Lepisosteus oculatus: one gene and its partner. The protein of the gene in region 2 interacts with the protein of the main gene of each other region in a pairwise test. Links are inferred from orthologs where the notes say so. Each region holds a gene or a part of one and is shown on either strand. Other genes may lie near its edges.

The links.
Region 1: the proteins of dzip1 (region 2) and ppp2r5a interact in binary tests that used the Homo sapiens proteins (3 or more experiments, as listed by UniProt). The link is inferred for Lepisosteus oculatus from reciprocal best matches to the Homo sapiens genes DZIP1 and PPP2R5A.

Annotation. Positions count from the first base shown.
Region 1 is NC_090697.1:46,064,028-46,071,606, forward strand, and holds the start of ppp2r5a (serine/threonine-protein phosphatase 2A 56 kDa regulatory subunit alpha isoform), read right to left. Parts: upstream 3,080-7,579; 5' UTR 2,180-3,079; coding exon 2,032-2,179; intron 1-2,031. UniProt on the Homo sapiens protein: The B regulatory subunit might modulate substrate selectivity and catalytic activity, and might also direct the localization of the catalytic enzyme to a particular subcellular compartment.
Region 2 is NC_090710.1:7,094,690-7,102,478, reverse strand, and holds the start of dzip1 (cilium assembly protein DZIP1), read right to left. Parts: upstream 3,245-7,789; 5' UTR 3,163-3,244; coding exon 3,160-3,162; intron 3,079-3,159; exon of another isoform or gene 3,001-3,078; intron 2,828-3,000; coding exon 2,228-2,827; intron 1-2,227. UniProt on the Homo sapiens protein: Molecular adapter that recruits protein complexes required for cilium assembly and function to the cilium basal body.

The DNA of each region.
Region 1 (7,579 bases), on a different chromosome or scaffold from region 2:
TTGACACGCACAGGTACCAGAAAAATATCCAAAAATAAAACCACAGTCATACTGGACCCTATTTGCTGTCATGGTTTCACTCTCTCTCCAAATCTGTCTAAACCAGTATATTTTATCAGTTCGTATGTGTGCTCATACAGCCAGTCACACCTGTCACCACTGTAGTAGGCCTACATATCATGCAGAACCTAACAGGCTGGATCTGTAGGCAGGCCTGAGATGCAGGCAGGAGAAACCTCATATGAGAGAAAACCTGAACAGAAATATGACAAAGGAAGCCAATCGATTTTCAAAACCTAGAGAAGACAAGGATGTTATTGGTTTCCAGTTTGGTTTTGATTAACTATGACATTTCTCAACTAGCTATAGATAACCAATTAGTCCCCACACCACACACAATCTTTATTATAAACAACATATAAAACAGTATTGTTAAAAGAATAAAATAACAAACAGGACATTATTATGATGATGTAAATACATACTTGTTTACTTAAAAGGCCAACTTCACTGGTGTAGAACGACACAGGAGGAAAATATCAGTATTTCAATTTACTTTTAAAGTGTCAGAGAACATCTGGTTGTTTTTATTTTGATTTCTTAGCAGAGGTGTTGTCTCAGATCAACACATTTTGGACAGCTATCATCTCCCCCCAATCCCATCCAATAATAAACATTACATTTCCCATTTGTTTCGCAGCTTCCACTAAAAAACACTAACACAAAGGCAATAGTAAAAGATGCAAAACTGTAGCCCACATTTAAACTTCCCAAACTGAGATTTTTTAAAAACCAATGCTTTATATTTAATGAGTAAGAATCATGAACACACACCTGATAAAGAGAAATCTACAAAGCAATCCTATCCTTCATTAACGCTCACTTATCTTGAACGTGATTTTATACATTACTGTAGAAAGATGCTAATTTTGTACCAACAAACACCTTTTACCAGTGATATAATCTTGTAGGTCCGTGCTCATCCCTGAAATGCATTTCCTGACTCACCCTACATCTTACTGTAACTAAGTATGCTTCAAACTTCAAACGCGCTCTTTTGCAAGAAAGCTAAATTATAGTGACACATTACTTGCAATATGTTAAAAACTACATCATGCATTCGAAGAAACATTCTGGGAAAACCGATTTAGACAGGGTGAATTTTGTTTATGGACAGTAAAGCAAAATGCTCTGTATGAGAAGCCCCGGACCACTATAATAATAATTGAAGCTTTCATATTTTACTTTTGGCTAATAAAATGAATTGACTACTCCACTGGGAGATAAAAATATAAATTCCTAGTTCAGTGATTGCCTTTGAAATCACAGTTACGTAAAACAATGTAGAGCATGTCACTGGACTAGTCGTGTTAGGAGAGATTATCTACTTCACAGGAAGAGCTGAGCTGTAAATAGGTGCCGAGTACTGTATTCCTGCAAGAAAATACTGTACAGCAACTAGACTCGCGCAGCCAACCTGACAAGTCCAATTGTTGAACGTTTTAAATAACACGGTAAACGACAATGCACGTTTTCCAAATAAAAAGAATCGGTCACCCCAAAGCACAGATTGAAGGATAAATTAAGGCTCATTTTAATAGAATATCAACAAGACAGCAAATCGACCAAAAACGAAAACGAAAACAGTAGCTAAGACTATCGCTACCTTGGGCAAAATGTAATTCAGATACCGAGCCTTCAGCTCGATAATTGTACTACAGATGTTTAATTTCCCGTTAACTTCATATTGCGTGCTTACTTTTACAAATGTACATCATAAAAGTAGCTTAATCTAGACATACTCTGTGGTTTTCATGAAGGATTCATTGCCTAAAATGTCCATATCGGAGAACCGTAAGCCGCACGTATTTTTGTAGCTGCAGTTCTCCTAGGCTTGGCTGCTAGGAATGGGCTAGACAATTTGGCTCACTGCTTGCACTAAGCCACTCTTTCAAGTATTAAATCGGGATGCGGCGTCAAGCGACCCCTGCTTCAGCGCAGAGGCTATTTCAGGCGCTTCTATCCTCTTACCTTTGAGCTGAGGCAGAGGCGAGAGCTCAATGAAGCTGCTCTGGGTTCGGAACTGGGACGATCCCTGCGATCGCTTCTGTTTCTGGGCTTTTCTCATCGATTTCCTAGTGAACCCATCTACTTTCTCCGCCGCAGAGATAGCCGACATGTTGATGCTGTTGCAGTTGCGCTCAATATTGTATCCACTTCAAGGTTACCACTTCAACAGTCTTCCGCTCGATGAGGGAGCACAAAACTTAAAAGTCCGCTCCGATGTTGAAGAGAGAAGAATACTTCCTAAAATGAAATATTAAAACCATCCGTTGCTTAATCCTTGACCGGAATGTCCCATTAAGAACATCTTATTTAATAACGTAATTTTATAAACGCAGGGTTAGCTTTCCACGGCAAGAAAACGCACCAAACTCTTGACAGAACCGGATAATTAAACCTTATCAGTCCAGGTTTATATCAGTGACCTTTCCTTCTTTGAATCATAAAATGTACACAGCAAGTCCAAACCCCGGAGCATTATTCGCGTTAAATGGACAATCTACAGGTCGCTGAAGTTCAGCTTTAAAATTAATAAATTGATGGTAAATAAGTTTAAGAAAAAAATAAACCAGTTCGTTTAAAACTGTGAATGGCAACCGCAAAAATGAAAAAAATAAACTTTAAGATGATCGGTGAAGTCAAAAAGACAATGTTCTCCTCCTGTAGAAATGCATCCAGTTTTTCTCTATAAAAATGCCGAGTGGGTCTGTTCTGCTCGCCGACTCGCAGCTGTTTGTTGGCACTGACGCGCTGCAGGAAGGCAGCCGGGCGGACTCCAGCTATCTCAGCAGCCGCGGCTCCAGCCCCACCATTCTCGCACAGACAGGCGTCCGTCTCTGCAGCAACACCTACAAAGGCACGGGCGCTTTCATAGAAACTTTCTGTTCGGCTTTATTGTTACGAGACTTCCTGCTTCCTTTCAACCCTTACTGCAAACAAAATAAAATTTCATAACTATAAAATGCTACAATGTACCCAGTCTGTATCCCCCCCCCCAACTCGCGCAACCATAAACAGGGTCCAGCCAATAGCAGCATATCAGCTTCTTTCGTCACACGAGTCGTAGATGACAGACTGGCATTCTCTCCAATGAAAAGTGGTAGACGAAGAAACCCCTCCTCCCTCCTCATATTCATCCAATGAGATTCATCAGGAAACTGGTTTCCTAGACAGACTTGGACAGGGAGGGCGGGCTTTGAGCGATGATGACCCTGCCAATGAAAAGTTACAGCAGTGGCTGCCTGGCCAATAGACGAGCAAAACATACTTGGGCTCTGAAGGCTGTGATCAGTCTTTTGACAGACGTACAGTTAATCCAGTCATAAGTAACAAACTTCTGATAGGCGGGGAATCTTTTAAATTCACAGGATTGGAAGTTAAAATGGTTGATGCGAGTGTGGTTTGCGTTGTTCATAAAGCTGAGTTGTGGAAATGTTGCTTGAGGTATTAACTCAGTTTTATTTTTTTCCATGAAAATCGCACTTAAAATACTGGTGATTTTTAATTCTCTACCATTTTTTGAAAGAAGACATTTTTGTGATTGAATAAAAATCTCACTTTATAGCAGGAGTTTAAAAAAGTGATTTAGCTATGTGTGTCTCCAAGTATGTTCATATAATTAATTATATAATTATAATTACGTGTATAATTAAGTATAATTATAAACTGTGTACTGTAATAAAAAAAGTCACCCTGGACTCTTGAGTAGGACAAAATGCACAGGTGTGTCTGTGAAATAGTAACTCTGTTAGGATACCCAGGCAAGTAGTCTCACTTTATTCACTTGGCATGAAATATTCCCTTTTTCTCCATTTTCTATTTAGACGGAATACATCTTGCATACACTGCCCACAACTGTAAAAGAACTGCAGAGTATTCCTGGGTTAGCTAGTTGGGCCTTTGATAAACTAAGGAGGTACTAACATGTTCCCCCAAAACAGAAATGACTTTGTTACTGATGCCAGTGACATGAGTATTCTTGCTGCTGTTTCCTAGACGACCCTCACACACTGCAAGGCAGCACATGTTTAAATGAGGAGGAGTCTGGTTGTCAGATAGCATGATCCTAATGACCAACTGCTGATTCTTCTTATGCAGTTATTGCTGTGATGCCTGTCACACCATAATCAAACAATCTGTTTCCCTCTCTCTGCCTTGACTATTTTTTTAGTTTGAATAACTGCCAGGTTTTCTGTGTGTGTGTGGTGTGTTGCATAGGTTCCACTGACTTTAATTTCCTTGCGGTTTTCTTCACAGATTATCCTCTTTCATAAAAGGTAATTATCTTCAAGCAACCAGTACACTTCATTTCCTTCTGCAGAGAATAATATAATAAAGTCATTGGTGAGGAGGTTGCACAGTTATATTTTCAAGGATATTATATCTAAGGATGGCTTTGCATCTGTGTTAGTTAATGAAGGTATACCTGTGATATTTATTAGCTCTGAGAACGTCTGTTTAAAGCAGCAATCAGTAATTTATTTTATCAAATATAGCTTCAATGCATCATAAATTAGGATGTTTCTCTATCTGGGCAGAGGAAATTGCCCTTTGTACTATTAAGAAATAAAACGTGCTACCAAGCAATTATATGATTGTTTACTTTAATGCACAGCTATGGTTCTGTTCTTTACTGCTATTGTAATGACAGGATATTGTACACCTGTCCCAATAATCAGATGAGCATTTTTGCATTTTAGACCTTTAATTAATGTGATGATTTGCACAGCTAATATTTTAACAATTTCTCACTCCTATAACTATGTAGCAGAGTACTTAAAAGAAAGTTTTTCTCAAATATAAGAACAATAAAAGTATATAATTACTAGTTCAATATGAGTGACTCCTTCTCTGTCCATTAAAGGTGTATAATGCACTAGCAAGGTCTTATTTATTCATTTTGTGTACATTTTTGGTCGCCACGTTGCAGAAAAAAAAATATTGCTGCTCTGGAATCTGTCCAGAGAGGTGGAACAAAAATACAATCTGGGTTTTATTGGAATGTCCTACACTCCCAGGCTGAAGGAACTGAACCTTTTCAGTCTTGAACAGAGAAGACTACAATGGGATTAGATATAAGTATTCAAAATTTCAAAGGCATTGACAAAGGCAACCCAACAACTTCATCCAAATAAGCAATGCAGCACGAACCAGAGGGCACAAGTAGAAACTAAACAGAAGTGGCCTCCATTAATTTCTATTATTTCTTATGATTTTATAGTATGTTCCTACAGCCCATCCAAAATGGGAGCCTTAGTGTTCCAGAGGTCCAGGCCTGCAAGTATGACTGCCATAGTATTATTAAACTAGAAATATTAAATGGGCAATGGTTACTGCTGCTTCTAAAAATAAATAATCTGTACTTTCTTTAATTTTCCTGTGATTTTCTTTCACCTGCTTGATGTTCTCACAAGGTCTGTATCTGCTGCTGAACAATTCCCTGGCAATTCCTTCCCGAATAAAGCTTCCCCAGCAGCTCATCAAGGCATTCCTGACTATCTCATTAAGCAGCTTGGCCTCTGGTCATCAGAAGCCTACCTCGCTTACATAAGATTCAATACAAATACCCTTAAACCAGCTCTTCTCCATCTTTCTAACTTCCAGTACAACCTACAGTTCAAACCATACAGTACGTCACAGAACACTTCTCTCACATTTTACTCTCCCCCTGATTCTGAAATGGACCAAACCACATTTTATTTTGACAACAACACTCCATAAACTGTTCAATGCACCTAATTCCCAGGTGTTGTTATTCATAGTGAAATGAAGTTTGGAAGGGATAAAAAACAGTTAGGTTCAATCGGTCTCAGCAGTCAATAATTTGTAATCAATCTTGATTACAAATTGTTGACAGCTGAAACCGATATTAAAGTCATTTTCTCACTTTAACATTAGAAATACTATACATAATGGCCTTCTCTCCCTCACTTACATAATTTTCCATCCCACCCCCACCCCATCTCCACCTCTGCAGCTGCCTCTTGGTCTCCCTCACTCCACATAGGGGTCTCAACCTCCTTGTCCTCTGGCCAGGAGGTCTGTCCTCAGCCTAGCGGCTTTCGGCAAATTTTTGTTGTATTTAAAACACTCCATAAACTTTGCTCAATTCTTGGATGTTGTTATTCCTAGTGAAATTATATTTGAAGATGTTCCCTTAAGCAGCTGCATCAGCATGCGCAGGCTGCAAAGGATAGGTAAAGGTTAAACTAATTTCATAACAAGTAAAGGTTTATTCCATGCTGAAAGGTAAAGAAAAGAAACACAACATTTCAAATGCGGAGCCTTCTTCAAATGTGTAGAGGTGTTCTCTTCTTCACCTTTCAGCAAGTAATAAACCTTTACTTGTTATGAAATTATACTTGGGCACTTTTGTCAGTTGTGACTTTGTATTTGCATTTACAGGGCTAGAGACGTCACTGGACACGTAAGATGGTCAATCTGTTTTGCTTATGGAAATGAAATAGAATCCATGGAAGAATGTGTGTTAGAGTCCTGTAAAGAGAAAGTGAAGAGATGTTAGTGTGGTTTGTCTTTGGATAGCAAATAAAACATTAAAGTCCATAATCTAGTTTATTACTTAAACAATATAAAACAAAATGAACTAGGTTCCAGAAATAACCTCATACATTCCCAGATAGCATACCATATTAACAGGTAACTGACATCAGTGGAATACCTGAAACATAGACAAGGGTTTTTAATTAATAGGTATATTTGTTTAGGAAGACAAGTTGGATTAAAGGGGGGATCTGGTGGGACAATATGTCAGAAATAACCTACAACCTACTAGACAACTCAAAAAGAGGATACAGGCAGTTTAGAATATGTACGAGGTAAACTGGAAAATATATATTTTAAGTGTTTAACAGTAAGTATATGTTTTAGACTTTCTAATGCACATTTTCTTCTGTATAATGAGATATGGAATGTAAGAAGCCAAGGTAACATAACATTATGAGGGGACTTCAATTTTCCACACAGAAACTGGAATGTTGCAATAGCAAATACAGAATCTGAAATTGATTCAGTTGGTTCTTAACCTAGTTTGTAAAGGCACCCATTAGGATAGGTGCTCTTATTGGGCTAGTCTTTTGAAACAACCAGGATAAAGGAACAGATGCAGCAGAACAACTGGGCAATTTGTGACCATGATATGGGAACCATTGGCATACTTTAAATCTCTTAAGGCGGTGTCTAAAATTAGGTTTTATAAATTTAGAAAAGCAGACTGTGAAGAGACAAGGCGGGGTTCACAGAGAGGGAACTGGAAATAAGTGAATTCAGATTCACAGAAGGATTGTTATAATATTAAAGGGTCAAAGGAAATTCATTCGTGAAATAGGATAAGTGGCATATTAGGAAACTATGTCCTAAACAGCTTATTGAAGACTTTAAGGATAAAAGAAAGGAAGGAAAACAGCACTCTGCATGCTGCGTAAAAAAGACCCTGGACAGAAAAACAGTGTACCTAGCTGCTGGCAAGTCAGAAAAAAAGACATTAGAATCACGGAGA
Region 2 (7,789 bases):
CTGGCCCTGGCCCAGACTGCCTTTATATTAAAAGAAATCTGTGGTACACATAAAGCCCTTGGGCTATAGTATGGGTTTCATGGAAAGTCTATTCTTCTGAAGTGCTTTAAACCCTCTGCTGCTCATCAGTTTAGTCAGCCAGATTGATGTGACAAGGCAGTGTAAAAGCTGGTTCTAGAACTCGCACAGCACACTTACTATGCAATCTTAACCAGCTGCCCTCAAGTCTTCATTTAATATTAAAAGATCTGATACTGACACCTGCTATCCAGTATTGTTTTGGTGAAGAGAAAAATGAATCTCTACAAAAACGGTAGACAAATCTCTAAAAATATATTTTGAAGCATTTTCTGTCAGTTCTACCAACACTACTGCTCTCCATACAATAGTTTTGTTATTCAATCCACACAGCACAGACATAAAATGACACCTGAAGAAGGCTCCACGGCCGAAACGTTGTGTTCTCTTTCTTCTTTTTTTCAGCATGGAATAAACCTATTACTTATTCCATAAAAGGAGAGGCCTGGTGAAAGTGATGTGGAAATTAAGTTGTGTACTTCATATTCACATCTGATCTTAAATCTTAAAATCTTAAAAACATTTTACTATAAATGTTTCCACCCATCTTCTAGCCGCTTTACCTAATAAAAAATTTCGGGGGAGCTGGGGCCTAACTTGGCAAGCAATGGATGCAAGGCAAGATACACACTGCATGCGATGCTAGTCCATTGCAGGGCACAAACAGACACAAACACACACACACTTATACAAATTTTTCCAGAAGCTAATTAACCTACCAGTGTTTTTGGACAGTACAGGTAAAACGGGGGAACCGGAGGAAACTCACAAGAACACGGGTAGAACATAGAAACTCCACACTGATAGCACGCTAAGAATTAAACCCAAGCCCCAGTGCTGTAAAGCTCTGTAAACCACTGTTCCACTATGCCACCCCGAAATAATGTTACGTGTTATAAAACAGATATGAATCTGAGCTGTGAATGTAACCTTTACATTTGTAAATGGCATTTTGTACTCCACTCAACTTAATACATTATGAAACTTCATATCAAAATAATTAACCCAGACTTCACATTTTTGCTTCAACTTTTGTCAAATAAAAGTTATAATCATTATTCAGGATTCTGTGAGGAGATGGATTTTTCTGACCAGAAATCAAGGAATGTTAGTGTTCTTCCTCAGTACAATGCTAACTGTTAGTCAAAGACTAAATTGACATAAAAACTATCAGAAAAATTAAAATCACACTGTTTTGAGAATGTAGAAAACCACTAAAGATAGGACACAGTAAGCTTATTAATAGCAATTGCAGAAACTAAAACATTAAACTAATAATAATAATCAAAATACACTCCATATGTTTCCCTTGACTTGTAAAATGAGCAGTTAGTCATGGTGAGCATCTTGTGCTGTTAGAGGTTCTCATTACAAATCTCATTATTTATTGAGCTGCACTTACACCTTAATCAGACAAGCCATACTGTTTGAGTTTCACTTAGCAACTTTGTGTGAAGGCCTAGCTGTTACCTAGGAGACCTTTTTTCATGTAGTTCTTGTAAATGCAAAATGAACAGCCCTTTATTTCCCATACTGTCCTTCCTTTGATTTCACTTAAACAAATAACATACCAGAATATCCAGGCCTATATAGGAAATTACACAATTGAGTTCTTTCAGGCACTGTACTAGAAATAATGTTAAATGTTGTGGTACAGTACCTTTCCTGACAAACACCTTCTGCCCTACTCCAAACTATGCAATGACATTCTGAACTGAAGCCACATTAAGAAAATGGGTTTCCAGCTATCTGTGTAACTATGCTGTTTATCTGTTATATGGATTAGAGAACAAAATGCCACCCGCAGACACCATCTGTTCTGTTGTTTTTAATGAGGTCTGAAATCTGCATTTTTGAAAACAGAAATGTTTACTATTACTTTAAGATTATTTTGTTAGATTTTTTTAAGTCTGTATATGAACCAATATCAAAGGAAAGTGTGGTTTGAATGAGACAATTCTGACAGTAGAGCTCTTCCAAATAGTGGACAATGAAGTATTTCACTACTTTTTACAGCTAAGTGTGCACCCGAGCTCATCCACTCACCACGACAAAGCGCAGCATTACTAAAAGTCTGATCTGCATTTGACACCATGAACAATGGATGAAAACAATGAACCACATGGAAAATCATCTTGTTGGCACATACCTTATGATAATTACCCACACCAGCACTGATCATTGATTGCTGGGTAGTAATGATCTTCTTCCTCCTCTTTAGCTCCTCCTTAAGTAATTTGATCTCCTCATTTTGCTTCATTGTTTCCCTTTTGATCTGTTCTTTCTCCAGAATGGAGGCCTGCAGCTTCTCCTCCACGGACTGCAGGCTGCTGGTGAGGTATTCCTGAGAGTGTAGCAGGTATTCGACCGTGAGCTGGGCTAACCTGAAGACCTTCAACAGAACCGGGTCCACTGGGTTCTGGCAGTAAGGGCAGCGCTCGTTCTCCACGGTACAGAATGTGATGCCCATGATATTCTCCTGCAGGGTATTGAAGTCCAGGTCGCTGGCCACGCGGTCAACATCGATGGCACTTATCCTGCGCCAGTCCACGCTCTCTCGGCGAGCTCGGAACTTGAAAGATGGGATGTGAGCCCCTGTCATTGATGGTCCAGAGATCACAGAGGACTGCTGGGGGATGCTGGAAGAGCGCTGGCTTTGAGGAGAGTTCAAAATGGATGGGATTCCGGCAGATGAACAGGTCCCTGGGGTTTCAGACGGATAAGGATAGTATATATTGTTGTAAAATGGCTGCAATGAAAAAATATATATTTCCACTTAAATATCCAAGCACAGCAGAAATGTGATCAGTGGTTTATGATAAAATAAAACCAAACCCAACAACCACTCCGACTAAGCCTTACCCAGAAATCAATGCAAACAAATTACTACATCAATAACGATAGCTCATATTTAGCAAATACCTCGTTTCTGGGAACTAACAAGTCGCAGAATACTGTTATTGTTCAAAAATCAAGAAAGAAGAAGTGTGGAATGCCTGATTAAAAAACAACACAAAATCGAACTGTCGCAGGCACGGTGGTTCTGCGGAGCTGTGAAATCCTCCCTGCATTTCTCCTTACCATCCCTGACTTGCGGCTCTTTGCTTGAGAAGAGAACGATTCAGCGGTATGGTGCCTCCCCCTTCGTCTTTGTGCAGTGACAGGGATCAGGGCGTCTTTGCAGTCTCCTAGGTAACCAGAATTAGCATCACTGTGTGCCTGGCACCACACCGCTCAAGAGCTCCGGGATGCTGCAACAGGCAGGCAGACAACAAGCCTTAAAAATTGATAGAAAAAGACGACGTTTTAAATGTCGTAAACATCAGTCATGCAGTTACTAACACAATAACGAACGTTTTACAATTTAATAAATGGCATACAGAAATTATGTAGATGAAATGAAGCATATCATCGTTAATAGCGTCCTTTATTCCATAACTCACGTAATGGTTACTACCTGTTTTACAATTGAGTTACAGGATACTGTTTTTACTGTTCAGTAGGCACTTTTGGCTAGAGCAAATCTGCGTTGCTTTGGACACTGTTTAATCGAATTTATAGCTTCATTTAAAAAAAAAAGTTATTGTCGCATTAAGAATGAAATTAAGTTATTAGATTTTGCAAAAGCACAAAGAAAAGACTTATTTCATCCATACTTGGTAACTGGAGTTACATTTCTAATGCATCTAGAATTATAAACTAAAGATATTTTGTATAAAGATTACAATATATGCTTCTGATATAAGCTAAGAAAAAATACTGTTTTTTGGTGCAAAAACATCAATGCTCCAGTTTCGTGAACTTTTTTCATGTTTTCAATCACGGGAAATTTCTTGCATCAAAATGGGTCTTCTCATATTTTCTTCTAATTAACGAATCAAATTTAAATACGTGTAAATCTATCCTGGCAGATTTTCAATGGTTTATTTTATGTGAAGACTAAAAACGCTTGATTTCTAAGTGTTTTGGTACACTTCGGTACTGGGTTTATATTCTAGTTGCTATTCTTTGAAATCCTCGTTTACATCAACTATGAAAACACACATTCTATCAAACCAGAGTCAATGTTATCATCAACTACTGTAATTACAGTACAGAAACAACCCCTTTTCCGATTAAAATTAACGGCACATTTGTGTCGCATTTATTTTAAATGTACTAAAGATTTTCAGAGCCAAAATTGTGATCGGGTTTTAGAGAAAATAATTATGGACATATAGTGCTAATAACTGGTTTAGTCATCTCGAGCGATTCCACGCCCTGTGGGTAAGATCTCAGATTTCTTAAACCTGGCATCTGCTCAGATTTGAGTTTATGATGTGATGTCCCTGTTATTTATACAAAACTTTATCTACAATCTCTCATTCCGTCGCGCACTTTCTTCGAGTTAAGGACATCTTTCAAGCATCTCATGATTTTATTTAATAACAACAACGCACGATTTGCGTGTGCGTGACAGTTTGCTGGTTCACACATCACCAAGCAAGTAGCCACTCATCAGACTCGGCCTTTCTCGCGGTCCAAGCCATCTGCCGGCAAAACAACAAAGCGCACTCCTCAAGACAACAGCTCATTTCCAAAAACTCAAGTCTGGACAGGCAGGCTCAGGCAAAACAAGCAGCAACGCCAAGAACTGACTCGTTTTCTACATAGAAACAAAAAACCCAAAGATGTAAAAGCTTGCCTTGCTAACTCTGTGTGCAAAAGATCTTAAACCTTTGAACTACAAGAAGCTACAGCAGGATACCAAGATAACTTGAAAAGTAACGGGAGTGTTGCGGACAAGTCAATTTGGGGGGAAAACAAACAGGAAATGGTTGGTTAGTAAAAGTGCAATTACGTACAGAATGAAATACTCACCCCACCTCGGAGATCAGTTTATTTTTTGTTTCTCCGTCCCAAATGAAAACTCTTCAGCGGGGAAGTTTCTTGGAACTCGAAAGCAGCCTGGTGGCGCGGTGACGCGCACATTCCAAAACCTCTTCATCACCGTCTCTCCCAGCGCGCAGAGAGGCTGGAGGGGGAAGGGAAAGTCTGAACGAGCGGTGCAGGGAGATTTAGGGGGGACAGATGAGGCTCACATTACCTCACACAGTATGCAAAACGGAGGTGGAGAATGAAGCCATATGTTCCGAGCTTCCGGAGGATTAGTAGAAATTCATTGCTGGGTTTGAGAGCAGAGCCTGTTGATGAGGGGCTTCAAAAACCCTTTTGTCACAAATTTAAATCCGTGTGGAAGTCTGCATACTTAAGCTATTTCTTCTTTCAAACTCCCTTCCTACAAATAATATGAGCTGAAACAGTGAGAACTTTTGCGTGCTTCGTATAGCAAAGAATTCGAATTTCTTTGGAAATTGTTACTTATATAACTTTTTGTGTTATTTAATTAGTTTTTAGGTAAGGCGCCTTTATTATTCTCGTGTGTGTTTGCTTTCTTTGCTAAATGCAACAGACCAATCAAATTCAGTACATAGTTTATAATGCAATTACTGAATATCAACATCTTGCTCAGAATCAGAATAAATTATAATTGCATTATAAACATTGATCTCTGAGTCCTTTATTGGTCAATTGCACTATCCAGATCCGATATAAGGCTCTGAAAACGTATAGTGCACCCATAGCTTCTTATTTTTGAGAAAACGAGACTGGTGTTTTACAAAAAAAAAAGTAAACCAATGTAACCTACCTTGTATTCATTTTTAGTTTCTAAGTATTACTGTGTGCGTTTGTGTAATGTTCCCATTAGAACTGACGCTGCTTCTTCTAGGGTAGCAGTTCCAACAGCGTAAAATAATCTTATATCTACAAAAAGACTGAAGGATAAGAAAAACTACATTTGCAACGCAATCAGGATGGTAGAGGTGGGGGTAGGGTTGACTCAGGTAAGAAGGTCAATGGAAAAATAATCTAAATGATCTAATGCTAATTCTGTAACTTAAGAAAACAGTTAAACTAGTGGTTGAAATCACTCAATAATAAAAAACGTGGCTCCAATAGATTCCACAAAATTAGTGTCATGATCAGTACCTGGATGGGATATCTCCTGGGAAAAACCAGGGTTGCTTGTTGGAAAAGGTGTTAGTGCGGCCAGGAGGGGGCGCTCACCCTGTGGTCTGTGTGGGTCCTAATGCCCCAGTATAGAGACAGGGACACTATACTGTAAAAAGGCGCCGTCTTTTGGATGAGACATACTGTAAAACCGAGGTCCTGACTCATAGCGGGTGTTAAAAATCCCAGGGCCTTTCTCAAAAATAGTAGGAGTGTAACCCTGGCATCCTGGCCAAATATCTTATTGGCTTTTACCAATCTTGGCCTCCTAATAATCCCCATCTATGAATTGGCTTCATCACTCTGTTCTCCTCCCCATTAATAGCTGATGTGTGGTGAGCGTTCTTGTGCACTCTGGTTGCTGTCGCATGATACAGGTGGATGCTGCACATTGGTGGTGGTGGACGGTGTCCCCATTACCTGTAAAGCGCTTTGAGTGGAGTGTCCAGAAAAGCGCTTATACAAGTATAAGCAATTATTATTATTTGTTCTTCTGTATTAATTAAAGAAAATACAATTGTATTTGTATTGCAACTTAGTTCAGACACTGATTAGAAATTGGCATGGAGAAAGCATTCATAAGAGAAATGAAAGTGTTTCAAAACTCTACACTCTGTCTATGCATGCAAGCTATTAGATAAATAATATGACTTGTTAATATTGATAAAATGTTTTGGGGTAATTTTTATTATTTGAAGATTCATGACTGTTACATTCAAGTGACTTCAAGTTTATTCTTCTCTTTTCAGCATGGAATAAACCTTTAACTTGTTCTTTTGGAGCCTACGCATACTGACACGGCTACTTACTTGAACTGATTTATCCCATAGACTGCCGAGCCAGTTGTAGTAATCAAGTAGTACAAGCACAGAAAGGATCCAATATGTCCTGCTTATCAAGAGAAGAATGGCTTTGTGCCATCGGTATGTTGCAGGCTGGACTAAGTCAAGGCACTGTCAGGCACCATCTGGGGTGTTTACAGCTTATAGCAATGTCTAATCTGGCAAGATTGTGCAGCCAATTTCAGCCTGCTAATGACTGACCCTGATCTCAGAGTCACAATTCTGCACCAGGATTGACATTTCATCATGTTTATTCTTTACGATTTCTTTCACGCAGCCACTACAACAGAAGGAACTGGTCACAACAACCCCATGTGTCTAAAGTTAGGGAGCTAAACAGTCATCATTTAAAGAACAGACAAGCAAAGCAACAAGTGAGCCCAGTGTTGATCAATGCAATAGAATAAAATAGACTCACCAGGAATGCAACTAATGCATTTTTAATTTATGTTTTGTGTGGACCTCTCATAAAATGTCATTTTATGAGTAATCCAGACATGTAGAGCAATACAATAATTGGTGTGTACAGCAGACCATTTGAGCCAGACCAAGTGTGATAGTTTGGGCAGAATTGCTCTTGTGGTGATTAAGTGGAACAAAAAACAGAGGTGTGGGAGTCATAGTGGTATAGTGATTAGCATTGCTGCCTTTCAGCACTGGGGCTCTTGGTTCAATTCCAGACCCTGTGTGTGATCTGTGTTGGTTGTATGTACTCCCTGTGTGTGTGAGAGTTTTTTTCCACAACAAATGCTGGTAGACTACTTTTAGGAAAATTGGTATGAGAGTGTGTGTGTTTGTGTCTGTTCCCTCATGATGTG